Arabidopsis thaliana: one gene and its partners. The protein of the gene in region 2 interacts with the protein of the main gene of each other region in a pairwise test. Each region holds a gene or a part of one and is shown on either strand. Other genes may lie near its edges.

Region 1 (9,527 bases), on a different chromosome or scaffold from region 2:
AATGGTCAAGAGCCATACTATAAAAAGGACCAAAATGATTTCGATTACGAATGAGCATGAAACTTGATTTATGAGGTGTCCAAAATTAAAATGGTTTGTTTACTAGGGTTATTTATTTTAAAAAATTGAAACTTTAAAAAGTTTAAAAAATTATAAATTAAATATTACAAGAAATTTAAACAATATAAAAAATATTAATACGGGACGATATACTGCGAGAGAAATCTTAGATATAACACTCAAAATTCAATGATGAAGTTTGGGTCAATATTAATCTTTTTTGAAGTTTCTAATTTTATAAATATTTGAAATTTATAATAAAATGACAAATTTGTGTTTAATTTCACGGGACGAGGTTATATGGTGTGACGGGTTTGAGTGGATAATAACATGGGATAGTATGCTATGGAAAAAAACATATAATAACAATCATAATATAATTATATAATCTTAAACACTAAACAAAATTAACAATATTAAAAAAAAAAAACTTAAAACTTTAATTTTTTTAAAACACATTTTGATTCTTTTATAAGAAATTTAAACATTATAAATATTTAAACTTTATACTACGGGTGAAATTTTATAATTGACTGTTTGGGTTGATAAGAATTTACAATAGAACTAGGAGTTAAATCCTAGAATGACAATCAAAATATAATTATACAATTAAATACTACCACGAGTGAAATCCTATAATTGACGAGTTTGAATCGATATTAATATGGGATGGTGTACTACGGGTGATATTTTAGAATTGATTGGTTTGGGTTGATAATAATTTACGATAGAATTAGGAGTGAAATCTGATAATGACAATTAAAATATAATTATACAATTAAATACTACCACGGGTGAAATCCTAGAATTGACGGGTTTGATTCGATATTAATATGGGATGGTGTACTACGGGTGATATTTTAGAATTGACTGGTTTGGGTTGATAATAATTTGCGATAGAATTAGGAGTGAAATCCTACGATGACAATTAAAATATAATTATACAATTAAATACTACCACGGGTGAAATCCTAGAATTGACGGGTTTGATTCGATATTAATATGGGATGGTGTACTACGGGTGAAATCTGAGAAACAACAATCAATATACAATTATACAATATTAAACATTTAACAAAATAAACAAATATAATTTAAAACTTTAAAATTTGAGTTATAAAATTTCGTCTCGCGGTGAATTATACATTTAAATCAAACAATAACATAAATTTATTAAATCATCCTAAAAATTATTCAATTATTTTTTATTTAATAAAAATATAGGTCCGCGGTATACTGCAGATTAATATCTAGTATAATAAACAACATTCCAAACTAAAAAAATACTACAATCACGACCAAAGTTTGCTCTAATTCCAGTCAAAGTTTCAAACCCTAACTGTAAAAGCTCTAGTTCGAGAAAGATCATAATTGATAAAGACAACGACGGCGACGAAACTCCACGGTAAAAGATGCTACCACCGCGTCTCTGAAGAAGAAACTCCTGAGTTTTGGAGGCGACGACGAGGAGGGAGAAGACGAAGCTTCCCGTGTCAAATCCTCTTCGTGTCCGAGGAAATACAGGCGGTTTGTTGTTTATGGATATAAATTATGGTTAAAAGAACGTAATTGATGTTTGTTGTTTTATCCCATTATATATGGGATCTCGTTTACTTCAATAGTTTGGAAAATCAAGTATTGAAGTTGAATATATAGAAGATATGATTTTCATCATTTTAAATAAAAGTAATTAAATGCTAGTTGATATATTTTTCAATGGCATATCTTATAATACCCCACATAACATTTGATTATTTTGCTAACAACATTGCATAAATAATAGTACAAGATAGCTCTTGTTGCTAAAGTACACTTGATTTAATCTTTTTGCCGTGCTCCAGACTTTGTCCTAGAGAGTTGGGTCATACAGGCTTTTGATTGGCATTATAATTAAGTGTGTTTCTCTTTTTCTTTTTCAAAATCGTTCATGCGCTTTGGTTTAGTCAAATACATAAAAGATATCTAGTATTACATTGAAAACCATAGAACAAAGTAAGAGGAAGAAACAAATATAAAAAGTGTGAGATGATCAAGTATATAAGAGAGTGAAAAATGTTTTCACTTAACACTGGACGCTTCCAGAAAACTTTGAAAGCCTTCCTTAACGATATATTCCTCAAAAGAGTATGTTCTAAAATGCGGTTAGCATAACCGGGTCGCCCTAGTCTTCTTAGGTCTCATACGATTATGGACCCACGAGATATATATAACAGGATTTCGGATGTACAAAAGAAAAAAATCAAAGATATAACTATAATAATAAATTATAATCCCTTTTTGAGATAAAATGATTTAAAGAAAAAAACAGAGGAATCAATTTTGGTGTTTAACTTTTACCGGATTGTGTGTTTGGGTTTTGTTTTTATAACTTCTACTGTCCCGTCTTGAGCCGTTTTGGTTTCCGAGTTTGCTTGACATTGTCGTTTCTGGTTCGAGAAACCGGTTCACGAACTTCATGATCCTATCGAGATGTGAACAAAACTATAAACTATCAAGATCCAACTCATGAAAATGTGTTTGAATTGAATCAAACGTAAGTAAAGAAAAAGATACCTTGAAGGAAGAAGACGAGGATTGTTTAGCGAGCTCGATTTCAACGGAGATGCTTGCTTTCGTTAAGTCCACTCCTGAATTCTCCAATGCTTCTCTCAGTGTTTTCACTAATCTGCTCCACACACAAAAGTAAATGTATAAAAGGTTAATAATTTTTTACTTTTACTTAACTGTTGCAAGATCAAAATTCAAAAGAGAGTTTTTTAGTTTTACCCTTGTGAGTAAACACTTGAAATTCTGATGTTACCCTCAAGAACTTCCTCATCTTCTTCTTCTTTTTGACTCCGGGAACTCGGACTTGGCTCTACAGCCTCTGATGATGCGACTCTTGCGTGGAACTGGGGTACGGGATTACCCGCAATCACAGGAGAGAAAAAACTGTTGCTTTGAATCGACAATGGAAATGGAGAGGTCGTCGCGGTTGTTGGATGATCAATAACAACACCTTGTGCAGTTGCAAGGACCGAAACCGGAATGTTGTTTTTCTCTTCTTCCAATTTTGGAGCAAAAGCAACTCCTTCAGGTACTAGCTGTTGGTTGTTGTTACTCTGCTATAATGTAAATGGATCACACGGGTTAACATTACATGGTTTGTTTGTTTTCAGTTTCCAACCCGGGGAATAAAAATGAAGTATGGTCGGAAAATGTGAGATTATATTTACCCAATTCAATAGCTTCGCAGGTTCGTGATTCCATCCTTGGTAAGAGGTCACATACTTGTCTGCTTTCTCTTGTAAGAATTGAATATACTCGATAACCTGTATGAAGTTGTCAAAAAAAAAAATTGGAGATTAGGAGCAGATGTGATTGAATCTTACTGTCACAAAATTTTCGGCCAAAAGAGTATAGTTATACCTCTAGTAAGAAGGAGGCCTTATCCCGCTTTTGGTCGCTGTTAGGTATTAGTTGTCTCAACATCTGAAATCTGCAGAGGGATCCATTAACAATGTTTGATTAGTATCTCCACTCTGCTAAGCTATATAACCAATTCTGGTGGCTTTTGCTACATATTCAGGACTTACCTATCATTGATCTTGCTCCTTCTCCGTTGCTCTGTAGCAGAATGTTTAGACCTAGGTGTGTTCAGCTTTTGATCGTTAGGAGAGCCTCTCACATCTGCTTTTACCCTCAAATCCACTGTAAAGAAGCAATCAATCAGATCCTAAGCTGTTACTGTTTAGACTTTAGATATCATATAGGTGGAATCTCGGACAATACAAACCTCTATGGCTCTGGCTAGTCGAGGAGCTTTCTTTCTTCATGATAAAATCTTCTTCATCATCTAAATCATCTTCCTGTGAACTTCCTTTTGCTGACCTTATCATGTCCATGAAGCTCTGGCTCTTAAGCACAGACCCTCTGCAACCAAAGTAAAACTTTAGTTGATCACTCTTTAAAGTCCATAGACCGAGTTATATAAAAAAGAGAAGATATGAGACTAACTGAGAGGAAGAGAGAGAACTGAAACCGCTCATATGGTTGTTTGTCAAAGACTGGGACCGTCTCTCCGCCACTGGCCATTGTCCCACAGTTGCTGCAACATCAGCTACACATTCAAAAAAACTTATATTTCATCATTCCATTGATTTCTAAATACTACTTTAAAACTAGTCTAAATAAACATCACGATTCAAGTTTTCTTGTTACCTCTCATGTTTACTCTCTCCCCAACACTATTCTCCTTCCTTGTCTGTCCCTTCTTCCCAGAAGCAGATTCATCCCACAGAGTGAACCCGCTTGATGCAGCGGCGTACGAGCTGCAATTAGAGTTAGAATTCTCATCCAAAACGTTTCTCTCATTAGCATTGAACATCATTGGTGGTGACAACTCCGGCTTAGGAATTCTCTGATGATGATGATGGAAGTAAGGAATGGGGCTAATCGTATAAGTCCCTATACCACCGGGAAGCACGTGCTGCAACGGTGGAGGTGGAGCAGGGGGCGGTGGCTTCTCGGACGCTGTAGTGGTAGAGTTAATCCTACTTACGTCTTCTTTAGCACCAACACATTCTAACGGTTGAAGAAAATCATGGGTTTTCAAGTGACTACCTGCTTCACGTACCATCAAAATTAAAAACATAAACTATATGTTAGAGAAGTAAATCCCTAGATAATACACATTTTCTTATACATCAAGTTGTATGCATTTAAACGCTTATAGTAATTAACAACATTTTGTTATTTATGTGATGCAATTCTAGGGATCAACATCATGAGGGTTGAAAGATATTTATTTAATCGAAGGCAAGGTTTAACGACATGTGTAGACGAAAAAGAAAGAAAAAAACGGTCCCAAAATTCCATGGGCTTTAAACACAGATGGGCCCATTAGGACCCAACAAAATAGCAACATTTTGATCCATGATTCGTCTTAAAGTCAGATCAGATGCACGCGCGAAAAAAACGTGACCCCTTTTAAGAGAATCTTAAAGAAGAAAAAAGGGTAAAATGGTAAAAAAAAATACCTTGAGAAGAAGGTGGTGGTGTTGGCTTTGGATCTGGGTGGACGGTTGAATGACTGCAGAGCGATAAAAAATCATGTGTTGGTTTTCTCCCTGTGCGAAATTCTTCTTAATATATATATCAAAATTCAAAAAAATACATAAATTTAAAATTATGAATCTTGTAGAAACTAAACACTCTGTTTTAAAATAAAATAAAGGAATTGGTAACAATAATATCTGATAATGGTGTTTACCTTGGGTTTTGAAGGGACGAGGTTGAGGAAGCTCCATGAACGACAGAGCTTCGACGGTTTTTGAATTCTTTTTAAATTATTCTATTACTAATCTGTGCGCGGGAATTATCGCAAAAATTGGCTAGCAGCTCAGATCTGCGACTTGTAGCAGCTGATTCAAGAGATATTGTGGTTTTCGATGGTTGAAGAAGCGGAATTGAGCTCTGAAGTTGCTGAATTATGCTTTCTCTGTATCTTTTTACCGATAAAAATCCTCGAATTTGGTCAAATTCTGCTCGATTTAACCTAAATCAGCCTCCGCCGCAACTTTTCTCAGCGAATTCCACAGAATTCAAACGGGAGAATCGGCAGAAGTCACCAAATTCGTGGAATCGATAGATCTGTCATCAGAATTGGGTAGAAATTCAAGAGAATAACCATAATTCAGCGGAATTCATAGCTCAAACCAACTCAATTTCGCATAATTCAAGTCAACCAATGAACATGGAGATACAAAAACTAGAATCCAAGTCAAATCTCTAAAGAACACGAATGGATTAGATTTGAGCTAAGAAGCGTACCTTCTTCGACAGCAAATTACGTGAAGCTTTTGGCGTGTCAAGGTACTGTTGAAATTACGCCGACTACTATCATGCGTCGAAGTAAATGCAATCAAAAGGAAATCAGTTAACTAATTAAAATGGTAAGATATGTATGATTAATTAAGAATCTCATGTATCTGATATTCAAGTCATCGTACATTCTTCTATAGCCTAATACCACCAAACCTAAATGAACAGTGCGAAAAGGAAAAATAAAATAAAGAAGATTTTGTGTCTCCGTTTAGAAAATCATGCTTATAAAAACCTCCATGTAAATAATGTAATCAGACCACTGTATTACGTGGTCTATGTTCGTGTGTACTGAATGCGCATAACTAGACGACTTGTTTAATTGGTAAATTGGAAGGTAATTGGTAAGTTTGACAAAGATACGTACTACTAATTGATAGCTAGGCTTGGCTGCAAACAATTACCAATTTAATAGTAAATTTAGTAGTAGAAATTCTGCTATAGATGATGGAATATAGGGGGACAAGTATGATTTTGTTCGTACGTGTATGCGTCTATGTATTTGTGTGAGTGGAGATATATGTAATGTATGTGACATTAGGTGGAACAAAGACAGCTCTTCCGCCTTTAACAAATTGTCTAAAACCCATAGTTAAGAACCTGATCATGTGAGCTAAGCGCATTTTTATATTTAGTTGAATGCCACTTGTTACAAAATCACTAACTTATAAGTAAACCAAATAGACGACTTACAAATTACAGTACTTATTTTAAAAGTCTTGTTAGCATTTACTAAACTAACATATGTCTAGTACTGTATATAATTTGAATTATATATTCGAAAAAAGTCATCTCTTAAAACCAAAAATAAAATGATAAAATATCTTTAGTCCATTTGTATTCAAGCGAAAATAGTTATGGCTTTCAAGTTTTTGCAAGTACGTATATACTTGATTAAATTACTTAAGATTTTCAGTAGTTAAGAATTAAATTTACTTACGAGTAATATTTATTGCCCTCCCCTAATGCTTACAATCTAGTTAGTTTCTGAGTACTACATCTTTCCAGTAGTCATGAGTTTAATCTGAAGATAGAAATAATAAATTGAAAACAGAGATGGAGATGATAGTGAGAAAGGAACTATAGCTAAATAGTGTTGGATCACATGAAGTGAAAAATTGTACAAAATAGGGAAAGAGCAAAAACAATTACACATCCCCACATGCCTTCCACTTTGTCTCGTGAGTTGTTAGGTTGTGCTTAAACACGCTTTATTCTCTGTATTTTATATTAACCCCATGAATTGTATTATATTGATTTAAAATCACTCGCAATCTCGTGGTTCTTTGATGAAATGTATTATTGTTATTCGAGATTCGGTTTCTCTAGAGCACAAGTAATTGGTTAGATACATTAAAATCAAAAACAAAAAAGCAAATGGAATTGTTAAGATTTTTACACGTTTAGATGAGAAGAAAGAAAGAAATCAAGGAAAGTAAATAAAAACGAAATGGTCAATTCAAGTGAAAGGCGAATAAGAGGTTAGTGTGACGTCGTTTTCATGATGTAGTGGGACCACGTGAACTGACTCTGCAACTCACGTGAGAGAAACACTGTAGAAACATAAATAGATTTTCGAAAACATTAACATCAAGGGCAATTTAGTAACAATACTTCTTGACTAGAAACTTGGAAGGCTAAGGGTTTTAGTCGATCGAAGAAAGAAGGTTTCCATTCAGTCTCATAAACTGTTTATTGATATGCCACAAACCGACCTATCCTTAACCATTCGTGGTTCGGTTGGGCACATCATGTTCTTCCCGTCTTACGTAATTCAATCAATAAATAATCATTCAACTTGAGTTAGTTAACAAAATAAGAAGAAGCATATCAAGTAGGTTTCAACTTCAAAAGATTAAGATCAAAATAACTTATATAATACAAAACATATTTTCTTTAATTTCCTACGCATATTATAAAACATATCCATGGAATTAATTAGAATAATGTATAGGAGAAAATCATTCGCGGAGTCACAAGATTTCTTAAACATATTTTTACATATTTAATCCAATTTGAAGTAAATCAATGCGAGATCTCATCACAACTACTCACCAGGTTCATGCACACGCTAACAACTGTTTTAATATCAAGATTTGATAATATTTTAAGGGTGAACAATATTAAACATCTCTTTGCATATAAGTATATAACTATATATCAATGACATTTTTTTTTTTTTGGTTTTAATGTTAGATATCAATGCTCTCTACGTTGATTTCTTACAGAATTACAGTTTATCAAACATTCTCTTTTCAGAAGTTTAATTAAAAAAATATAAACCCTTAATTTATTTATTTTGTTGTTAAAGTGTTTTTAAATAAAACATTAATTACAGAAACTTTATGCATACACAAAAGAGTGTGTGGGAGAGCATCTCATCTGAATTAGCTGTCTTCTTTACTTCTTTTTTCCTTATAAAGAGGACTATTAGTTGTCTCTAATCATTGTTATTTTCTTAATAGTATAGTAACAGATTAAATAATCATAAAGCAATTAGAAAAGAAGAATAAGAAGCTGGACTTGAAGAAAAACAAATGTATTTGTAATGCGGACATTCCTCTGTACATTTGCACAGGAATCCTCTTAGGGATCAGTTAACAAATAGTTTATCTATCTAGATATCATGTGACTTAGGGTTAAAACACGAGATTAAACAACTAATTATGATACATTGAAATTAAATATGAAGTTTTTAACCAAGGAGAAGGCTACGTACGAGACTTTGGATCTAAGAGGACACGTGGCAGTTGCGCCGCGTAAATCGCGCCGTATCACGTGATAACGAAACCTTTTGGGGTATTTTTGGCTGCCTACCTCACAGCCTCCCCCATCCATCACGTGGCCAACTCACACCTCTCGATTATTGCGGGTCCCACGTTTCTTTTTTACGCTATCCCGTTTTCACTATTTTTTATTCAAAATATAAATTAATTTGCTAATTATAGATATAAAAGCTATCTTAAAACAAAAGCTGTTAAAATGCTTTGTTAGCAAAGGGGAAAACAAGAACAAAAACTATGTACTTTGAAAATAACGGACCGTATAATTTTGATATGAAAAAAGAGAAATTCTAACCATTAAATGCACTGAACCAGATCACTGATCTATATATTGTTTTTTAACTCTTTTTTTCAACGTGCAACTAATTTAATTCTTGTACTGGAAATGAGTTATGATGACAAACAAAACAAAACAAAAATAAAATAAAAAATAATTTCTGAATGTTGCAGTTTTTATGTACCATCTATGATCTATGATAAATATACAAAAAAAAAAAAAGTGTTCATGATGCTGGTTTCTGGTGTAATCTTTTTGTTTCTTTGATCGGAACACGAATCTTTGCAAGATTATTGGGATAATTAACTAATATAACTTGCGTGAGATATGGCAAAAATCAAAGATGATTATTGATTAGGGTTTGGATATAGCATCTTCCGATGACATGAGTTGAAGATGATATATATTTTGAACTAGCTTGGTTAAGAGGAACCACAATATAATGTTATATATGTTCACCGTTTAATTAGATCTATAGTCTTATGTTTATAGGAATATAGGATCCACGACTCTAATTTTCACATGAGGTAATAATGAATTTATTG
Region 2 (7,854 bases):
TAAAGAGAGACATATACACGTGCATATATACACTCAGATGTTGATTGTTTTCCAAGGTGTTTGTGTGAGAAATGACATCTCTCTCTCTCACCCATTCAGGCGGTGGAAAAATTCAATAACACTTTTAAAAAAGATTTTTGTTCAATAGGTTTTGACCTGAAAATACTTAGAACAAAAAATAACACAAGAGGGAAAGTGCCGTAAAAGTAAAAAAAGAAAAAAAAAAAGAGAGAGATCATGTCGCTGACATACTATACATGCCTAGCTAGCTCGGTACATTTATATATAATGTTTGTGTGTAAGGTAGATTGAGATATATGAATGGTCAAATCGGAAATAAAACAGTATATGTTCTTAAATAAGCTTCTCCTTTGTTCAACTTTTTTGCTTTCATTTCCGTTACATGATTTCGCGATTAATTACTTTTTATAATTAGTCAACTTCGACGCCTTGTGTCGTCCTCGATTTTAATGTTCTGTCTTTCTCTGCATTCATAGTTTATCTTATTTCATTTCATATCCTTACTTCTTTTTTCTACAAACAATAATTTCTAGACGAATTGAAACAAATTTCCAAAACTTTATGAGTATATATAGGATATTTTTAGTGGCAAAGGACGACTTAAATTGTAACGAAAAGAATTTGAACTTTTTTCCATTAGTCCCTACGATGAATATTTCATCCTATAGAACATCATATGAATTGATTACTTAATGAAGTTAAATTTTTGAAAACTCTATTAGGGACAATGTCCCACATCGGAAGTTGAGTAGGATCTTAAGTGGTATATATAAGATATGAGCCTCTCCACCTATTGCCAATTAGTTTTACGTTGGAAGCCCACAGTCTGATATGGTATCAGACCCCGATCCGCACATACTCAACCCGATCCACATCGGTCCGGCCCAATACTTGGCCCGCCGATCCATGCCCAAACATATCGAGATCAATGGCTAGAAGAACCATCATCTCGAGGGGGCGTATTAGGGATAATATCCCACATCGGAAGTTGAATAAGATCTTAAGTGGTATATATAAGATATGGGCCTCTTCACCTATTGCCAATTGGTTTTAGGTTGGAAACCCACACTCTAATATGGTATCAGAGCCTGATCCGCACATACTCAACCCGATCCACATCGGTCCGGCCCAATACTTGGCCCGCCGATCCATGCCCAAACATATCGAGATCAATGGCTAGAAGAACCATCATCTCGAGGGGGCGTATTAGGGACAATGTCCCACATCGAAAGTTGAGTAGGATCTTAAGTGATATATATAAGATATGAGCCTTTCCATCTATTGCCAATTGGTTTTATGTTGGAAGCCCACACTCTAATAAACTCAATACAAATACTAAAGTTGCAAACAACTATACTATATTTGCTTGAAGTTCTATTGTGATAGGATTTTGACTTACAAAAATCATATTCTATGTCTACACTATATATTGTGAAACCGGATAGCCATAATATTTACAAAAACTTAAACTAATTTCAGATATAAATAAATTTAAATTTCACTATGACCTAGTAATTATCACGAACAATTGGGAAGTTACCACAAAATGGTGGTCCTGTATTATGGAATTTAGCGAAACCACACACTTGCGGGTAAAAATAATGATGACAAAATGATATACATTGGAATGTAGAGAAAGTATATACAAATACTAATAAATAGAAAAGGGCATGGAATTGACGAGGATCGAGGGAAAGTGTGGTGTGGCAGAAATGTTATTAAGTGTGAAAACAACTGATGAATGAGCCTTTGCTTAATCACTTCCATGCACAAGTCCCTTTCCTCTTCCTCTCTCTCCCACTTCATCGAACTTTGCGTCCTTTAAAGAAAAGAAAAAACAAAACATTTTTCATCCAATTGAATTCAAACCGTAACCAGATTAGATTTAACTTCGTTTATTTTACATTATCTTCTTCTTCTTATTTTGCGGAGAAGACTTGTACAATGACCTCAATACGCTGAAGAGTTGGATTCACTGCGAGTGTATATGTGCATATAGAAACAAAATATCTAGCTATATGACCACTTTTAACTCTAAATATGGGTGTAATATGCCAAGGACTTTCTGGAGATCCACCACAACACACATTCAAGTTCAAGTTCTGCTGCTTTTAGGTCTATGAAAACAACACCAACCTTATTTTCATATTGTTCTCTCTTTATCTCATGCATAAGTATATTTTCATATTGTTCCCTCTTTATTTTCATGCTTTTAGTTGATATTTTTTTTGTTATTGTATTATCATTAGTGCGACGACACAAAGTCACAAACCATGTAACAAAATGCTTAACCAAAATAGAAAACCTTAACAATTCCAATATATTTTCTGTTATTGCATTATCAATTATCATCAAATTTTTTTCCACTGTTGCATTATCATCATTGCGACGACACAAGGTCACAAACCATGTAACAAAATGCATAACCAAAATAGAAAACCTTAACAATTCCAACTTTAACATGTGAATTAATATTATCTTAATTTTTGGATGTTCGACATTCAAATAAACTCCTAATTAAACCCTATAGATATGGTTAATCTTCTATACATGTGTCACGTACGACACTTATTAGCCAAATTGAAGTTTTGTTTTTTCCGCAAATATATAAGCGGTTTAAATAGTTGGTAAAAAAAAAAAAAAGTTAGCATGTTTGTCGTATGTACATGTTTGATGCTGCACAAATCTTGTCGTTATAAAACTTTGAAATCTTTATATCTATTATTCCTCACCGATCGGCTACTAATTCAATGGTACTTGATAATGATAATTAGTCCCAAAGTAGAGTTTTTATCTGATTATATAGAAACAAAGACTAGTTCCGGTTTGATATATAGAAGAAAGAAAAAGGATGGATAGGAATAATAAAGAAGATAAACCGGTTCAAAAGGTAGTAAATGAGAATGCAGGTATGCAGCTTATCTCTACAATGGCCTCTTCATCACATGTCGCCAATTTGTTTAGGTACAGTGTCTCTTCATATTTACATAAATAGATATCTCTCTCTCTCTCTCTCTCTAAACCACATCTTCCTCTCCACCGTTCTTTCTCTTCCTTCTCTCTCTGGACTTCAACTTCTGGAGAAGTACAAGACATTTATAAAGTACTGCTCATCACCCAACACTAAACACAATTGTCAAAAGGGTGTGGTGGAAGGAGAATCTACTTCTATCTGAACATCGATCAGTCATATCTTTTCAATCAAATCAAAGCCCTCCTCTCTCTCTTACTCCTTTTTTGTTTTAAATCAAGAAAAAGACTCCATGTCGAGCATGTCCATGTCGTCCTCCTCAGCTCCAGCTTTTCCACCGGACCACTTCTCATCTACGGACCAGCTCTGTTACGTCCATTGCAGCTTCTGCGACACTGTCCTTGCTGTAAATTTTGGATTATTCTTATATCTCATCTCAATATTTCAAATTTATAACTCTAGCTAGGGTTTCACATGAATTACTAGTTAATTAATGTGTGATATTAATTGGCAGGTGAGTGTTCCTCCGAGTAGTTTGTTCAAGACGGTGACGGTCAGATGCGGCCACTGTTCGAACCTTTTGTCGGTGACCGTGAGCATGAGAGCTCTTCTTCTTCCATCCGTTTCCAACCTTGGCCATTCCTTTTTACCTCCCCCTCCTCCTCCTCCTCCTCCAAATCTTTTGGTACATCGGTTTCATTCATCGAAACAAATTAGGGTTCTTTCATAAAAAAAACAGAGAGTAATAATTAGGGCTTTTCTTCTCGAGAAACGCAAAATTGTGAAACTCAATCCAAAAATGTTTAATTTTGTTAGCATCCCGGGATAGATCTAAGTAGTTTGGCAATGGCTAGTTAACTAGGGTTTCTTTCGAAAACATCATATCAAAGTAGTTTGGTTTGATTAGTGTTTTAAGTTTTTTTTGCCAATTAGTTTGCTGATTTCATTTATTAGGAGGAAATGCGAAGCGGAGGGCAGAATATAAACATGAACATGATGATGAGCCATCACGCTTCAGCTCACCACCCGAACGAGCATTTGGTTATGGCGACTCGCAACGGAAGATCAGTGGATCATCTACAAGAGATGCCTCGGCCACCACCAGCCAATAGACGTAACCTTCCATCTTCTACTCTTTATTTCAACATCTTCATATATATATATATAAGAAAACAAAAACCCTAATTCACAAAACCTTATCCATTCATTTCTTCAACCTTTTATATATACACTCCAAAGAATCTCGTTTGTTTATAATGAATTTATAAGTTTTGATTTCATTTTTGTTCCCTCGGTATGTGACTTCTCGCATGCACTTTTTTTTTGGTCAGAAAACAATTTCGACAACAAAAGGAAAATTAATAAGTGATGTGTTTATCCCCCGGAAATCTAGCTAAACCTATAGATGCCAACTGATATAGTTTTGGGGGTAGATCGTAAGAAAGATAATGATGAAGTGATGATGATAACGAGCAAAGTGAGAGGGAGAGGGAGAGAGAGAAAGGAGGAAGAGTCGAAGAGTGATTGTTTTTTTTTTTTTAATTGTTTTTTTTTGGTGAATTTTTAGATTTTTTGGGGAGGCACAATAAAAACCAATAATGTTTTTTTTAACAAAAGGGTTTGATTTGGAATTAAAATTGAATATGTTCTGTTTGTTTGTTTGTGGAAAAGCAGCCCCAGAGAAGCGACAAAGAGTACCATCTGCATACAACCGATTCATCAAGTAATAAGTTTATTCCTTTGCTTAAAATGGCATAATTAAATTTCCCTAATTAACCATTTTACTCATATAATTAAGGGTCGATAGATGTGACAGATTTGATTTCATTATATGATATAAAAATAAAAATGTTGACAGAGAGGAGATCCAACGTATAAAGGCAGGCAACCCTGATATCAGCCACAGAGAAGCCTTCAGTGCTGCTGCCAAAAACGTACCATTTCTTTTTTTAATATATAAAACTAATTTTCTATATTGCATTATATCCATAATCATACAATCTCATTTTAGTCTTTATGAATTGAACCTAGCTAGATTATTGTGGAGCTACATTGATACTCACATTGCTTTAAATTAAAAACATAAAACAAAATAGTTACCGTAATAATCCATAATTCATAAGCTTTATCCAGCATACATTAGCTAGGACTAGCCTTAGGATCTACGATCTAGGGTTTCAGTAAAGTTCCCTAGCAGATATTTTAGTCTGGCTTTGTATTCGTATATTTTTGACCAAGTTTTTATGTTATGTATAAGATAAATACACATTAATGTTAAAAGAGCTAAGTATATGATGTAATATGTATGAAACAGTGGGCTCATTTCCCTCACATACACTTTGGACTCATGGCTGACCATCCTCCCACGAAGAAGGCTAACGTGCGCCAACAGGTTACTTACTACTACTACACTATATTTATTTATTCAAATGTATATAATCAGGAGCATGCATGCATTGATCATCAAAACATAATCGAGATATTTTATTTTGGTGTAATGAAGGAAGGAGAGGATGGGATGATGGGAAGAGAAGGGTTTTACGGTTCAGCTGCCAACGTTGGGGTGGCCCATAACTAGCTACGAAGACTTTCCCAATCTTTTGTAATCTTCAAAATGTGGTTACTTTCAGCTCAAACTTAACTTTCTTATTACTATTTTATGATATTTGATAATCGATCAGGAGACCTTTTTTTTTTTTCTTAAAGAAATTTTCGGAACTACTAGAATTTTCTCTTGGAATTGAAAATATATTGTTTTCTCAGTTGCCGTGTTATATATTTAATATCAAAAGCATGCAGTAGCTAAGCTAGCTAGGCTTTACCATACGTTAATGATACTGTCTTTTTCTCTTTACAATTCCATATTCGAATTTGATTTGTATATAACATATTGGGAAGAATCATCAATATGTATTCAGCTCAAAAGAATTCAACAAAAAAAAATGCCTATTATCAATAAAAATTCACTGGGCTTTAGAAGGCCCACAATAGTATAATGGATCCTTTTTGTTGGGCTTATTTCAGTCAGGGAACAATAGCCTTGATTTTGTTGGGCTAACCGCTAACGCATTAAAAAAATCACGGTCAATCGGTGATCGTCAAATCTAGTTACGTGGCATTTAATATTTAAAACTACAAAATTTACCAGTCTTGGCTCAAAAAAATATTTATTCACTTTTCTTCTTCTCTGACCAAAATCAAAATTTGTTCGATTCTCATTCTTCTTCTCACAGTCGTAAACCCTAAAAAAAAAACAGAGAAATCAAATTTCAATCTCGAAGGATCTACAAAGAAGCATGACGACCGGAGATCTCGTTAATATCCATCCTACTGAGCTTAAATTCCCCTGTAAGTTTTTTTTTTCCGATTGATTTGATCCCTCTCGGATTCATTTCACCTTTTTTACGTTTTCGATTCTCCGAATTGAACCGTCGTTGTTTGTTTGGGTAACCTCTGTTATAATTTGTGTTGTTGTTGGTGGTGAGAAGTTGAGTTGAAGAAACAAAGTTCGTGTTCGATGCAATTGACCAACAAGACAACTACTCAATGTGTCGCTTTTAAGGTCTTTTACATTCTCTTCTTACAATTCTGTCTTATTAGTACACATTGAGAGAGTGTTGATGTTAATTGAGAGACACACAGGTTAAAACAACCAATCCTCGCAAATACTGTGTTCGTCCTAACACTGGTGTTGTCTTGCCCGGTGATTCCTGCAATGTTACAGGTTCTTAAAACCATTTCTTCTTTCATTCAAAAGCTTTGGTTTTTTTTAGTCAACAACACAAAAGATGATTGTTGTTTTGTTTCAGTGACGATGCAAGCCCAGAAAGAGGCACCACTTGATATGCAATGCAAAGACAAGTTCCTTGTTCAGACTGTTGTTGTCTCTGATGGTACTACTTCCAAAGAAGTCCTCGCTGAAATGGTTTGCACACTATATGCTTTTTTAAAGGAACTCTCTTGCTTTAGCTTCTTCTTCTTCTTATTATGAATTGGTTTCTTTGTTGCAGTTCAACAAGGAGGCTGGTAGAGTGATTGAGGATTTCAAACTGCGAGTTGTTTACATTCCTGCTAATCCTCCTTCACCTGTCCCTGAAGGTTCTGAAGAAGGCAACTCTCCTATGGCTTCCCTCAACGATATTGCCTCTCAATCTGCCTCACTCTTTGATGACGTGAGATGATGATTCATTTTGTTATCCAATGTTAAGAAACCGAGTGTAATATGCATCTTCTTATTTCAGGTGTCAAGAACGTTTGAAGAAACAAGTGAGAAATCTTCAGAGGTAACAACATCACAAATCTTTGTCTTTTACCATTCTCGACATCTTGATAGTTAAGTTTCACCACCAACATCCTCTCTCATTCGCTCAGGCATGGTCTATGATTTCCAAATTGACGGAGGAGAAGACTTCTGCTACTCAACAAAGTCAGAAGCTCCGTCTCGAACTGGTACGCGTTGACCCCAGTGCACTAAGTGATCTACTTGTTATTTGTGTAATCTTCATAAACGAATACATGTATATATTGTGTATTCAGGAAATGCTGAGGAAAGAAACAAGCAAGAAGCAGTCGGGTGGTCATTCCTTGCTCTTGATGCTGCTGGTGGGTCTGCTCGGTTGCGTGATTGGCTACTTATTGAACCGGATATAAACGCCATGGGGTTAGCTTCATCATCCTTTTAATCATCAAATCTTGCAAAGTTCTTAAGATTTTTGACCAGATTTTCGTAAAATGGAGGTGGTTTTTTTTTAAAAGTTTCATATTTAAGCTGTAAAATCAGTAGCTGTAGCACAGGAACAGGTGTGATTTTGTGGCAGGTTTCTTGTTATTGATTTAAACACACTTTCGAGTCTGTAGTAAGA
Region 3 (6,868 bases), on a different chromosome or scaffold from region 2:
AATTATCTACTTGATCTTTTAAATAGATGGTCTCTCACTTTTTCCCGTTAACGAGTCATTCTATAATTCTCTTAATTATAAATTTTGATAGTTAATTATATGGGATGTTTTCTCTTGTTAAAATACGGTGTCAAAAAATATAAATATTGAACCTTAATTGAACTAGAGAGCATAAATTTTTCCAACCATACATATATCAGAATTTTTTATTTATAATTTCTTTCGCCTGTATACTTTGAACATAAAAATGTAAAGTGATGACACAACCTTGAAAATAAAAATTAATACATATATGTGGTTGGGTATACTACTGTTTATATCGTTACGTCATGGGACTTTTGAAATGTCAAAAGGCATGCATGCACAAGAATGTGGCCACTACACAGAGTGCCAACTGCAAAGACCGGCAATGACTTAGTGACGACCCACATGCTTATGCATTATTTATGATATTAGAAATTATTTTAAATATATTTATCCACAAACTACTGTATCAACCTCTTTAAATCGACTATCAGATCAAAAAGTTAAGAAATTAAAGGAAGAAAAGAAAAAGAAAATTAGATATGGCCCGGTTGATTGCATAGTGTACATGATCATAAAATACTTGCAACTTGTTTATATAATTTGTTAGAAAACAACAACTTATTCGATAGATTTATCTTTCATTGATTCGTGGAAGCAACCCTCGCGAGTGGAATAACAAAAATTAATGTGTATGAATTACTTTATATTCGTTTTTGAAAGCAATTTTCCATCAAAATGATTAAATTTTCATGTTTCACCTAGCAGAACGAGCGACTTACATATATCTGAAGAGTTCAAAAAGACCAAAAGTAAGAATCGTTCGTTCCTGTCAACATGTACATCTAGTCATCTAGATGAATCTCCATAACACGTCTCACGTACACAAAATCTGATAAGACGGCGCTAACAGTGTTGATGAACAGATGGGAGAATCTAATAAGTAGCATCTCCAAAAATGTCAACACGAAAATTTTCGGGTAAATCCAAGACTCCAATATGGCAATATACCATGGAATCCATGGAATCCCCCACTTATTCCCAAAAGGGTTACTTTACTGAAGATAAACTTGAATAAACAAACGATCAAATTAATTACCGTACCTGAAATACAAATGTATAGTATCGTGGGAATACGTCAACGCTCAAATCATGATATTGGACTATAAACATCAAAATGTCTTTTATCTTAGTAGGCATCCTCACGCAGAAAAATAGAATTGAAGTATTGATTTATTCAAACATTGTTAGCGTATTGTAATCTGAATTTCAATATAATATACGTGTATATAATTTATAGATGGTAAAAGAAAATTGTAAATATATATTCAGAAATTAACTACCACTCTTTGTAACTACGTATGATAATTAAATTCTAACAATCACCAAAAGATCAGAAGTCCAAATATTCAGAAAATTTTCATTTTTCATACGGGTATTACAATTGTTATTTTTACAAACCAACAATTGGGCAAAAAGCCAACGATGTAATATTTTTTTCATTACCTATAGTTTTAAATCAGACATGATAATAAGATATAGGCTGTCCCTGGAAATATAATTTTTATTTTCTAATCACTTTATTTATATAGAGAAAACACTATCTTTGAAAAGCAAATTAATTCATTCACCCTTTTTTTGAAATATTAAAATATTGAAACAAATCACAAATCAGCTTTTGCTTTTGTTTTCTTCATGGTGCTTTCGAAAGGTTAGGGATCATAATGCACTTTTTCTTATCCTTTTTTTTTTTTTGGTATCAACTTCTTCTTATCTTTAACCCTCGGAACATTCAAAGAATGATCCTCTCGCTTGCTTTAAATTTATGTGGGTCTCATTGCTGAATATTATTCGTATGTTGATAGGGTGAATTTTATATACATTAGAGAATGAAAGATTTAAGTCACAAAATAAGTTAATCGTTGGTTTTTTTTTTAATATACAAAACTGGTTGAGGATATATTTCTTTACCAATCTGCTCAATCTATTAGCCCTAACTCATAAAATAAACCAGAGCATCTCCATCCATACAATTTTTAGAGTTTCTTTTGATAAAGATAATATAAATAATTAATAAATGAGGAGAGAGAATGACAAAAAATGAAGAAACGTTTCTTGAGAAATTTTGGAATAATCAGTGAAAGACTATTTCTATAAGTGTTTGCTTATAATTGAATATTTTTTTTAAAAAAAAATAATTACAAAATTAAATTACAGTAATTTTTTATTTTATTTTAAAACCTTTTAAAGTATCTTACAGATGAAGATGACCTAATAGTGGAATACTGCCAATTAAAATTTAAAATAGCAATGGTACTAGTAGTTAGCAGCAGCAGCAGCTAATGAATGATTTTTCAAAATAAAGCAATCTCATATTCGGATGGATACAAATTCTGATAACCAACACAATAAAAGTACTAAAGTTAACAACTCGTTAACATTATAATTATTACATCACCATTTATAATCCATTTACAACGAAACAACACACTTCAGACCAAAAAAAAAAAACACAAAAACACAAGCATATGTGACAACACGAACTACATTCATGATTCATGCATGGTCATCATCACCATCATTATTTATTATTATTACCATCAACATCATCAAGGTAACATATCCATAGACATCATATTGACATGGTCACGTGGGATTCATCGATTATGAGTTTCACTCATCCAAAATAGTTATCAATTTCGTCAAACAAGTCTTGACGTTCATAGACCGGCGTCACATCAACGACGTCGTTTTCATCCTCGTGAAGAAACCTCGTAAGTTCTTTCATGAACGCAGTGTTTTCAACACAAGACTCCTCCAACATCATGAAATCTTCATCATTCAGAAATGTGGAGAACCCGATAGTATCCTCATCATCAACGTTGTTATTACCAACGAAATTATCGCAGTACATTAGAGGATTGTTAACGGAGGAATCAGAGAACGTGGACGAAGAACACGTCAGATTAACGTTACCATCAACGTCAAAGTTCGATGAAACTGGTGTTGTTGCAACGGTCCCATGGCAGAGAAGATTCGAGGTTGGTGCGAAGGAAGAACTCGTTGACTTAACTGATTCAGAGTCAACGGAAACACTTGTAGTTGTAGTATTAGTAGTGTGACTAGTAGAAGCAAGTGGGCCTCCACTTCCGATAATCTCAGACAGAACACTCTGATTGATTCTCTTTCCGAACCTATTAGCTACTTTGTTCAAGAAACTAGCCGATGATAATCCAAAATTCTTGTTGTTCTTCTTCGCCTTGTCATTATCAAGATCATGGTCACTAGTTGTCAGATTAACATTTTGTTTCTCCGGGAGGTTTTCTGATTTGTCGGTACCGGAGGTTATGCCCTTGTGTGTAACTGGATCAATACCTTTCTTGATCAAACGTTTTTTGATATGAGTGTTCCAGTAGTTCTTGATCTCGTTATCGGTTCTTCCTGGTAGTCCACGAGCTATAGCAGACCATCTGATTAAAACCACATATAAGATTACAATATTAGTAAATGTTAATGCAAACAAAAAATAAGTATAAAATGTAGAGGTAGAGAGACTAACTTGTTGCCGTGAAGGGCGTGAAGAGAGATGATTGAACGTTCTTCGTCTTCAGTGAACTCTCCTCTTTTGATGTCAGGTCTAAGATAATTGGCCCATCTCAGTCTGCAGCTTTTGCCGCATCTCTTGAGTCCTATCCAATTAGAAGAATTATTTAAGTAAAATAATTGAGCAATAATGACCAATAAAGGTCCAACATTGAATATTCAAACATGACGGAATAAACATAATAAAAAATAATACATACCAGCTTTTTCGGGGAGAGTTCGCCATCCACCTTCACCGTGGCGGTTAAGGTAAGAGAGAAGCTTCTGATCTTCCTCGGGAGTCCAAGCTCCTTTCTTTAACCCTAGTTCAGCTTTGCAACACGGTGTCCGCACCATTCTTGATTCTTCAAACTTAGCTTTCTTGATCGAGTTCAAAGGGGGTTGTTCTCAAGTGAAACAAAGAGGGACAAAAAAACACAAAAAAAAAAACTGAGAGGTGAAACAAAGTGTGAAATGGGGCGTATGATCATAGAGATTGAGCACAAGATCTTTTGATTAAAGAATTCAGACATCGGTAGATTCTTCGAATAGACATCTTGTTCTTTTGTGATACTCGAGATCGTTATAACATTGAACGAGCAGAGGAGAAGAGAGATCTAGTTGCTCTGTTTTCTTACCACAAAGAGAGACACAAAGAGAAGGTTTTATAGAGAGAATCTTTTTTTCTCTAAAGAGAACTGTTTGTGTTACACTTTGCAAAGTGGGAAACTTATAGGAAAGAGCCCATCTCTATTTATGCTTGCCTGAGGCTGTACGTGTGGCTGCTGCCAACGTCGTCGTTTAAATATGACTGACACATGGCTCATTATGATTCCTTAACGCAATTTTTTATAATCGGATTATTACATAAAAGAAAAACTGCTAACTTTTGTCAGTGGACATTTTGACACTAGACTTTTGATCTTTCTTAAACTAATTTATTTTATTTTGATTGTCAATAAAAAAATACTACGAAGACATCTATTATATAATATCATTTTTCATAATCCCATGCATAAGAACCGCCACATCTGATATGATATTGATAGTAGCAAAAAAAGGGGAAAAAATAGAATGAATATAGCAAAGGTTGCTAAAAAAAAAGAATGAATATCAAGCATGCAAAATATGTAACGTAAAATTGTCTTGCCTATGTAAATAGCTAATTACGTATCAATTTATTTTGAAATCTATGTCTGCTATGCAAATAGTTTTGATTATGCAATCCAAAATATAAAATTTATTGAAGAATTATAATACGGCGCCGGCAGGTCCGGAACACCAATTAAATTAAAATCCTGTTGAACTTTCTCTTCGATCTTTGGAGATATTTTGTATTGACCCGATTCTTGACCAAAATTTTATTTTAGTTTTTTGGTATTGACCGTCGGTCCAAAGTATATATGAAACTATAATTTCTCAGCAAGTTTTTAATTTTATAACGAGTAAAAAAAAAGCTTTATTGAAATTGGCAACAAATTTTAACCAATGTAAAAAAACATTTTGAATTTATCAGAAGAGTTAAAAAATGTCTATCGAAATGAAAAACCACAAAGGTACGTTTCCATGACAGAATGAATTCAACTTTAAAACTTGGAGTGCGAGGACTTTTCAAAATACGACTGAACTCTTAGTATTTTTTTCTCTCAAATATTTAAATATGCTTAAACAATCATAGAGACGACAAAATTATAAAGAAACAATTGGCAAACTAGCACACGAATTGAAAATTCGAGGAAGGTAAGGTAGAGAGGTACAACACAAAAGTAGTCGTATTTGAACTAGATTAAATTAAAGCAACAACTTGGTCACTCAAACACTGGACTTGGACATATCGATATCCATTATACCAAGGAAAAATCTAAGGTACAAAGAAAGAGATAAGCTATTTTCTTTTTTCGTACAACTAATTTCCACTTTTCTAGTTAGACAGAACCCATTAATTAGTCAACATTGTGTTTTTTTTTCTCTCTAATATGATATGAAAGTACATACGGTTATGAAGAAAGCTAACCAGCTTGGTTTACATCAACCCAACTCTAAATTCAATGATTCATGCTAAAAGTATGACAACTAAATTACAGTAGTTCTTTAGTACAAATACTAAAAAATAATCTCACCTATGTTGTTGAATTTTTTCTAAACCTCCGGCAGAATTATCAGCGGCCACGGTGGCAGCTAACTCCATTAGTCGTTCATAGTCAATCTCACTACACTTGTACTTCAGTTTCATACCAGCTTCAATCCATGATCTGATACAAATAACAGATTGTGTGCTATCATGAGGCATGCAATACTTCTGCTTATCAATCTCTTCTCCTTTACCACAAAAGATCTCTTCCGGTGCAGCAGAAGTCGCCTGAACCGCAAGGAAATCCCGAGCCATGTTGGAAAGTCGCGGGTATCTTCCACTGTTTACCTTCCACCAATCAAGCACATCAGTCTGCATTGGAACTATAGACTCTGATAAGTACTGAGTCAGTTCATCAACAACATTGTTACTCATACTTCCTCTTCTTTTCCTTCTAGCGATTTCCTCTGCAAATGAGATATTTCCTCCTCCTTCATCTACCTCCTGAGGACGATACCCGCTAGTCATTGAAGATGTGAAATGAGAGGAAGAATAGTTACGAATGAAATGACTTCTTGCTTCATCTATATAGCTCTCGAGATTAATCGTCTCTGGAATGTACTCTGTTTTGATCCGCGGGTCAAGAATGGCTGTAATGTAAGTGAATACGTTGCACACTTGAGTGTTGTAACTTCTGGCCTTCTGGGCCATGCTCTCAGCACAAGTTCTTAGCCAGTCTGGGTTGTGGCATGATTTCTGGCAAGTTGTGATCATCTCGGATATGTTATCCATGAAGAGCAGTGCTAGACCAACCGTGAGATCCTTGTTCGTGCACATATCGTTAGTGGTCTTGTGAAATGAATCCAAATCCAAGTAATTGTGGACAATAGTCACCGCGTTCTTCTCTACAGAACTCAACATCATTCTGTTCTCTAGAGCATCCTCGTTTTTCCTAATCACCGAGTCCAAGGACTTGCTAGCCTGCAGCAATATAAGCCATCACATATAAATATCTCAGAGCTTGATGGCTTACAGGTCAAAGTTATAGACATCTTACCTTGCACAAGATGTTGACCATCTGGTAATTGCCACTCCAACGAGATGAAGCATCGATGGGTAGTTTCCAGTTGCCTTCTTGATAAGCTGTTGTCAACTGAATGAAATCATCAGATAGCTCTGTGGACGCGTTTA
Region 4 (7,159 bases), on a different chromosome or scaffold from region 2:
GCCGTTTCTGCGCCGTAGATATCTTGTCCACCGCTCGTCTCAGAGACTTTTCGGATATACGGAGAGACGAAGTGAGAGCTATGATTCGGAAGATCAACGTGGAACTGGTAACATCAGGAGGCAGTGTCAGATTGAAACTCCAGCCGTTTCTTTATGGGCTTACGTATAACATCCTAATGAGCATGGTCGCTGGAAAACGAGAGGAAGACGAGGAAACTAAGGAAGTTCGGAAGCTGATTAGGGAGGTGTTCGATTTCGCTGGTGTTAATTATGTCGGAGATTTTCTCCCGACTCTGAAGCTCTTTGATCTTGATGGATACAGAAAGAGAGCAAAGAAACTCGCTTCGAAATTGGACAAGTTTATGCAGAAATTAGTCGACGAGCATCGGAAAAACAGAGGAAAAGCAGAGCTTGAGAAAACGATGATCACTCGTTTGCTGTCTCTTCAAGAATCAGAACCTGAATGTTACACTGATGATATCATCAAAGGGCTCGTACAGGTACATGAGTTTTTAATTCCTATAATTTTGAATCGTTAATAGGAGTGATCAAGATTGATTCATCAAAGATTCAAAGGATTCATTGCAGGTGATGTTGCTTGCTGGAACGGACACAACCGCAGTGACGTTGGAGTGGGCTATGGCTAACCTTCTAAATCATCCGGAAGTTTTAAGGAAACTCAAAACGGAACTAAACGAGGTTTCGAAAGAAGGGCGTGTGTTTGAGGAATCAGATACTGGCAAGTGTCCCTATCTCAACAATGTGATCTCTGAGACTCTTCGTTTGTTTCCGGCGGCGCCCTTACTTGTCCCACACGCTTCATCCACTGACTGTGAAGTCGCTGGATTTGACATTCCACGTCGCACCTGGCTATTTATCAATGCGTGGGCTATTCAGAGAGACCCAAATGTATGGGATGACCCAGAAACTTTCAAACCAGAGAGGTTTGAATCAGAGACCCATCGTGGTAAGTTTCTGCCTTTCGGAATCGGTAGGAGAGCATGTCCTGGTATGGGCCTGGCCCAACTAGTACTGAGCTTAGCTTTAGGCTCATTGATCCAGTGTTTCGATTGGGAGAGAGACAATGACGTTGCCGTTGACATGTCGGAAGGAAAGGGTCTTACCATGCCCAAATCTGTGCCTTTAGTTGCCAAATGCAAGTCTTTACCAATCCTCGACAAACTTGTTCTTTAACTGGATCATTTATCTTTCACTTTGTGATACTTTGTGTATTAATTTGATCTATTATCATCATTAAGCGTAGTTATAAATAAAAATTTATTTTATTTTCCTGAATAGCTTAAGAGAAATTTGATCTTCGTCTTCGTCACTACGTCCCCAGCTCTCGAGCTTTGTTCACTCGATTTCCTCTATACATTTCCTTAAAACCCAAAATTCTTAAGCCTAATCCAAAGGAGAAAAAAACAGAGCATTTTTCTTCTTCTCCAATTTAAACAGTTTCCTAATAATCTCACTTTGTCTACTCGATTCTCCCAACTCCAATTTGACTCATCGGAATCATGCCATTATCAATGAATCCTCCGACGAATCCGCCACCATTGTTCCGTTGCATCTCCGTCATGTAACTCCTCACTTCCGCCTTAATCATCTCTTGCACCACCGCCATAAACTCGCCTCCGTTACCGGGAAAAGACTTCCCCATTTCCTCAATCGCACCTCTAAACCCACCACTAAACGGCATAAACGACACCGTATTGTTGTGGTTGTGGCGGCTCGAAGTGGTGTTGTTGATATTCGTTGACTCGTGGCTACGGTTTGACTCCTCGCTTACGTCGGCACCAGGAAGTGACAAGCTTAACGAAGTCGGTGGATCATCGGAAGAAGACGACGTTTCGATAGGAAGCGGTAGCACAACAGCACCAGGTCTAGGCACAGGCTTGAAAAGCTCAACGGAAGGTAATATCGGGATAGTACTTGAATCACTGACATCAGATCCAGTTGGGCTTCCTGGGCTCATGTAAAGCCCAGTAACAACAGGTGGAGATCCCGCACTCACCGATCTCTTAACCGGCCGATGATCCTCCGAACCATCGTAACCCCGATGGTCGTAACCGCCGCATTTCCTCTTGAGCGTCGAGTTCCAGTGATTCTTCACGGCGTTGTCCGTACGACCGTTGAGAAGACGAGCAATCGTCGCCCATTTATTACCGAACTGAGCGTGAGCACGTGCGATCGTCTCGTCTTCCTCAGCCGAAAACGGCCGATGCTCAACTTGCGGCGAAAGCTGGTTGCACCACCGTAAACGACACGATTTCCCCGATCTACCGGGAATAGATTTGCTAATCACTGTCCAGTTTCTTGGACCGTATTTAACAACAAGCCTACGAAGCTGCTCGTCTTCTTCAGGACTCCATGGACCTTTGATCCTATCAGCCATTGATTTTGGAATGTTTTATCAAACTTTAGCAATCTTCTCCTCTTTAGTGATTTTGGTTTTGAGAGATGAACCAAAAACAAGTTCGAGAAACTAAAGAGAGGACAAAATTATTTATACAGAGATTTAAGAGAGGAGGATAACCGGAAACCGGTTAAGACGGTGGAGAAGTCATGGGCAACGCTTCTTCCACGCAAGCGGTTTTTCAAAGTTTGCGGTACAGCTGTAAGTGGACACGCGTCGAAGCCTGACTACGTCGATGTGTCTTTTTTGTCGTTTTCGTAATAATTTTGTTCAAGATCAGCAATTTCGTATAGTTGAGCGTGGAGATCAGTCGAGTCTCAAAGTATGAGTTTGTGAGTACACGCGCCATTTAAGCGCGTGGCGAAAGTAAGAAGTTAAAGAGACAAAATCACGAAACCCAACTAGCAAAGCCATGATAATATTCGCACAATTTGAGGTGAATTTAAATTTTTTTATAGGGGAAATAAAAATGAAAAAGAAATATCTGAAGAAAAAAATAAAAAGATGATAACGGTTAGGTTTGGGTAAGGACAGTTTTTATTTATTTTTATGTTTAGTCTTGACTTTAGAATAGCGAAGCCAGGCTGTATAGCACTTCACATAAAAACTTTATGATAATATCTACTTTACATATAACCGATTTTCCGGGTTGAAAACTAATCAAAATTATTGACCACAAATTTCATTACTAATAAAGAAAACAAATTGTCACTAAGAAGGTATAATTAATTACTAAACAACACACAAACACCTAATTCATGCATATAACAGTGCATGACAAATTGACAATACTAAATCTATATATAGTTGCTCTATGATCATAAAAAGATCTAAACCTCAATAATTTGAAACGAAGCTGGATTAAAATGGGATTGACAAAGAACCGTGTGAGCGATATTAAGTGAATGTATAAAAATGGTTAGATATTAATGTTCGGTTTAGGAAACGTGATGTAAAATGTGCGGTTAACAAAAGATAGGAGGTTTTGACGTGGCAGAAAACGACAACATAGGTTGCCGAATTGGAACGCAAAATCATCACTGCCTTTGTTTCCTGAAATATATTTAATTATTATATCGAAAATACGAATAGAAACAGCCAGGCTGTATAAAACTTGTTAATCAAACAAAAACAATTAATAAAACACTAACTGTCATCCATTTAAGAACTGCCACGTGTCGGTCGTAAAACGCGGGTTTTTAAAAGCTCTTTGTTCTGGTATGTACGGTACGAATCAGGTCGGTAAACGTCAGGTAATGTTCATGCACGCTCCCTAACCTTCCCTCTAACGGTTCATAATTCTCCTTTTAATTAAACTATAGTATTGTTAGTTCTTAATAATTCAAGTTTTTACGTAACCCCACCAAACATTTGAATTTATACCTTTTGAGTTATATATCTACATTTTTGTCGATTTGTTGATAATCTATTAGACATCAGGAGTTTAATACTTTGAGTGAATTTGATAATTAATAATGCCAAGAGGTTATTGTGATGGGAACAATAAGCTCTAGATGTAACCTTGCGTAGTTATTATATTGGGTTTACGTGTTCGTTTGTGAGACTCAACTATACTACTATAACCTTGCTCGTTGTTTCTATTATCAATGGTCCGAGTGTCGGTTTTGGTCTCCTTGTTTTAAATATTTTATTGAAGTCGTTTTACAATTACCAACTTTTCCTTAAACCAAAAAATAGATCAATAATGGTTTTGATTGATGATATTGATGGTTGATTGACGGTGTCTTACTCACTCGAAGATTAGACAATTACCAAAACGATTTTATTCGTAGTCCACCAAAAAAACAAATCAACTGTGATCATTTTTCATATCTATTATAAATGACTACTATAGTATGACATTTTGAAAACATTTGTAACGAATAATCATCACAACATATAGTAAACTGAAAATATAACATGCAACAATCTAAAGAAAAAACCTAAAATACACAACGTACAGCCTCAATTATTGAAAATATTTTGTTTTCTGGTATGATAAATTTTGTGATTGAAACGACCACCGAGAAGTTCATATGAACATAGAAAACATTAAAGAAAACACCGTCCATATATTATTTTATTTAAGACACACCGTCCAAGATTACAACTGTATATTTTTGGACCAAAAAATCATTGCCCCTCTTGTGGAAAAGAGATAGTGGTGCAGAAAAAAAGGCACGTGGAACATGACCTAATTCGGCTAAATACAGTTTTAAAATTCAAAAACTTACGATAACCGGACAAAGATTTAACAGCTGTTTTCCAGTATGTCCACGTGTCCATGAATTATCCTTCCACGTGTAAGTTTGAGTGACGTGTCATGCTAATTATTCTTAACAAAGGCAAAACTACTCTTGTCTTGTTCCTCCTGTCGTGTAAGCTAGCAACTGTAATTTTGCTATTGGTCTACTAACGTGTTTAGATATTCTTCCACTTGCATTACCTTTTCTTTTTATTCGACATTATAGAATGTATTAATTGTTAACGGTTTAGGGAAACTACTTAATTATATGGTTTACAAACAAAAAAAAAACATAATGGTGTCAACAAAAAAAATCACAAAGGCAATAAATTAAAGAAAACAGGTGCATGTGGTTCGTTTACTTAGTTGCATAGAATAGAAAGATGCTGCTACAAAATATCCTTCCGTGTTCTCGCTTATCCTTAAGCCGTATGCACATTTTGTACCTTCACCTTCCACACGTGTGCATGTATATATCCACACGCACTACAAATCTGCATTAATGGTACGGTCATCGTTGAAACGACTACGTTCGGTGACCTTCGTGCTTAAGATAAATTTTGTTGGTCTTCTGATGTATATGCTTAAGCCACACACACCTAACACCTTCACTAAAGCTTGATTGAAAAGCGATTCTTTGTTGGACGACAAATAAAAAGTTACTCTTTTCTTCTTCTTTTTGTATGTGTGGAATCAAAACGTTTAATTTTTGTACCTACCAAGTACTATTTCATCTTATATGTTAGAACTTACCGATTTGTTGGATTTTTTAGAATTCTGATATCATATGATATTTCCAAAAAAACTTATTTAAAGATTTGCTTTATTTCGTCTTCAAATCTGAAATTTATCGTCAACTTTGTAAATCAAATGTTAAAAAATTTCAAATGTAGAATTGGGATATTAAAAACTTGATCATTTTGATAATATCTATATACTATAACTCTATAAGATAATGCATGGAATCACGTTTTACGACCAAGCATCATAAGAGTCATGAACGGGCAAAAGCGAGGGCAATATAAAGCTAGAAACAAAAGGACAGATTACTACATGAAAGTGTGTGAAGCTTTTTCCCCACATTGGCCGCCGGCTTTTTTTGACTTAATTAATATTAACAATACTCTCTACACTGTTTTTTCTGTCAATAATAGTAGTATATGATAAATATTCTTTTCAAAACAATACTTCTCATGTGGAGAAAATATCGACCACATCATCAACTTTCATGAACAATGATCAATGGATCGACCATCACACTTGCTAAATAAGAAAGGCATAAGAAGATTATGTTGCAAATTATTAATTGAAACTCTTGGATCGATAAATATTCCATCGGATTTGAACATGAAGATAATGTGTGAACGATTACATTTTAGGTTTTCACCTTTTTAGAGTGCAGTAAATGTGTGATTAAATAGAAATTTGCTTCACTAAAACCAAAAAAGTAAGTACAATTCTATAAACAGTTCATTATTTTATATATATTTTTATAGAATTGCAGAAACTTTCCGTATAGTAAACAAGTTCAATGAACACAAAGAATGAAAGAAGCTTCTGTTTAAGTAGAGGAATAAAATGATTATAAACAGAGCGAAATTATATGTAATATTATAAGAAAAAGTTTCGGCGGGTCTATCTAACTGAAAGTTAACAACATCACAGTACCTACTAAAAATATATTGAATAATAATCATTAGGAGTGTATGTGTGGTTGATGAAAGGCCGAAGTAGAGCCGCCCTATAAATGGGCTTTTGTCGTCAAAGTGGTGGAGCCCAATTTTGGAATGGCCTATCTGATTGTTAGTTGGTCATTTGTCCTTTTCCCCCATAATTTATTTCAACAAGTCCTTTTCAACTTCTTAAAACATCTAGAATCAGAAAACTATTCATTGAAATTCATACAGAGAATATCAGTTATCACTTATCAGCTACTAAATATCATAGGAAACACAGTAACACACAATAGCGTAGAGATTATACAATAAATGGGCTTCAAAAGATCAGCCCAAAAAGAAACTAAGCCCAATAAATAATTTCTAACTAACGTGTGGACTCGGTGAGTCATCATCTATCTCATCTCGGTGATGGCGGTGATCTCATCGTTATTATTCCCTCCGGTGTTAACCCGACGAACAATCACGATCTGCTCCAACTCATCGAAATCAATGGCGGCTAAAAAACAAATCGGTGAAGAAACCTCGAAGCGGGTCTTTGTATGCGGCGGTGGAGTAATCGGCGTCTGTACTGCTTATTTCCTCGCCAAGAAAGGAATCGCCGTCACTCTCGTCGAGAAATCAGCCGTCGCGTGCGCTGCTTCCGGTAAAGCCGGTGGATTTCTCGCTTTCGATTGGTGCGATGGAAGTCCTGTTGCGCATTTAGCACGCGCGAGCTTTAAACTCCATCGATCGCTCGCTGAGGAGCTAAACGGTGTCGAATCGTACGGATACAGAGCACTCACGACTCTTAGCGTCACCGTGACGGAATCAAAACCC

The links.
Region 1: the proteins of YAB3 (region 2) and BIM1 interact in binary tests that used the Arabidopsis thaliana proteins (3 or more experiments, as listed by UniProt).
Region 3: the proteins of YAB3 (region 2) and MYB51 interact in a two-hybrid assay, tested with the Arabidopsis thaliana proteins (one study listed by BioGRID).
Region 4: the proteins of YAB3 (region 2) and MYBR1 interact in binary tests that used the Arabidopsis thaliana proteins (3 or more experiments, as listed by UniProt).

Annotation. Positions count from the first base shown.
Region 1 is NC_003076.8:2,604,224-2,613,750, forward strand, and holds BIM1 (basic helix-loop-helix (bHLH) DNA-binding superfamily protein), read right to left. Parts: upstream 6,028-9,527; 5' UTR 5,872-6,027; exon of another isoform or gene 5,692-5,871; 5' UTR 5,349-5,691; coding exon 5,312-5,348; intron 5,181-5,311; coding exon 5,079-5,180; intron 4,663-5,078; coding exon 4,261-4,662; intron 4,160-4,260; coding exon 4,057-4,159; intron 3,973-4,056; coding exon 3,836-3,972; intron 3,751-3,835; coding exon 3,636-3,750; intron 3,539-3,635; coding exon 3,469-3,538; intron 3,372-3,468; coding exon 3,276-3,371; intron 3,165-3,275; coding exon 2,827-3,164; intron 2,726-2,826; coding exon 2,614-2,725; intron 2,522-2,613; coding exon 2,432-2,521; 3' UTR 1,795-2,431; downstream 1-1,794. UniProt on the Arabidopsis thaliana protein: Positive brassinosteroid-signaling protein. Transcription factor that bind specifically to the DNA sequence 5'-CANNTG-3'(E box). Can bind individually to the promoter as a homodimer or synergistically as a heterodimer with BZR2/BES1.
Region 2 is NC_003075.7:70,520-78,373, reverse strand, and holds YAB3 (Plant-specific transcription factor YABBY family protein), read left to right. Parts: upstream 1-2,797; 5' UTR 2,798-3,284; coding exon 3,285-3,398; exon of another isoform or gene 3,399-3,485; coding exon of another isoform or gene 3,486-3,506; coding exon 3,507-3,677; intron 3,678-3,946; coding exon 3,947-4,106; intron 4,107-4,666; coding exon 4,667-4,715; intron 4,716-4,850; coding exon 4,851-4,926; intron 4,927-5,306; coding exon 5,307-5,384; intron 5,385-5,495; coding exon 5,496-5,570; 3' UTR 5,571-5,829; downstream 5,830-7,854. Other genes in the region: AT4G00170 (Plant VAMP (vesicle-associated membrane protein) family protein), read left to right, coding at 6,289-6,340, 6,481-6,554, 6,635-6,716, 6,802-6,917, 7,003-7,164, 7,234-7,275, 7,364-7,441, 7,529-7,642. UniProt on the Arabidopsis thaliana protein: Involved in the abaxial cell fate determination during embryogenesis and organogenesis. Regulates the initiation of embryonic shoot apical meristem (SAM) development.
Region 3 is NC_003070.9:6,386,860-6,393,727, reverse strand, and holds MYB51 (myb domain protein 51), read right to left. Parts: upstream 4,330-6,868; 5' UTR 3,964-4,329; coding exon 3,828-3,963; intron 3,714-3,827; coding exon 3,584-3,713; intron 3,495-3,583; coding exon 2,702-3,494; 3' UTR 2,342-2,701; downstream 1-2,341. Other genes in the region: AT1G18560 (BED zinc finger and hAT dimerization domain-containing protein), read right to left, coding at 5,723-6,658, 6,735-6,868. UniProt on the Arabidopsis thaliana protein: Transcription factor positively regulating indolic glucosinolate biosynthetic pathway genes.
Region 4 is NC_003076.8:26,849,348-26,856,506, reverse strand, and holds MYBR1 (myb domain protein r1), read right to left. Parts: upstream 2,486-7,159; 5' UTR 2,399-2,485; coding exon 1,481-2,398; 3' UTR 1,195-1,480; coding exon of another isoform or gene 589-1,194; 3' UTR 501-588; downstream 1-500. Other genes in the region: CYP81G1 (cytochrome P450, family 81, subfamily G, polypeptide 1), read left to right, coding at 1-500, 589-1,194; AT5G67290 (FAD-dependent oxidoreductase family protein), read left to right, coding at 6,752-7,159. UniProt on the Arabidopsis thaliana protein: Transcription factor. Represses the expression of protein phosphatases 2C in response to abscisic acid (ABA). Confers resistance to abiotic stresses dependent of ABA. In response to auxin, activates the transcription of the auxin-responsive gene IAA19.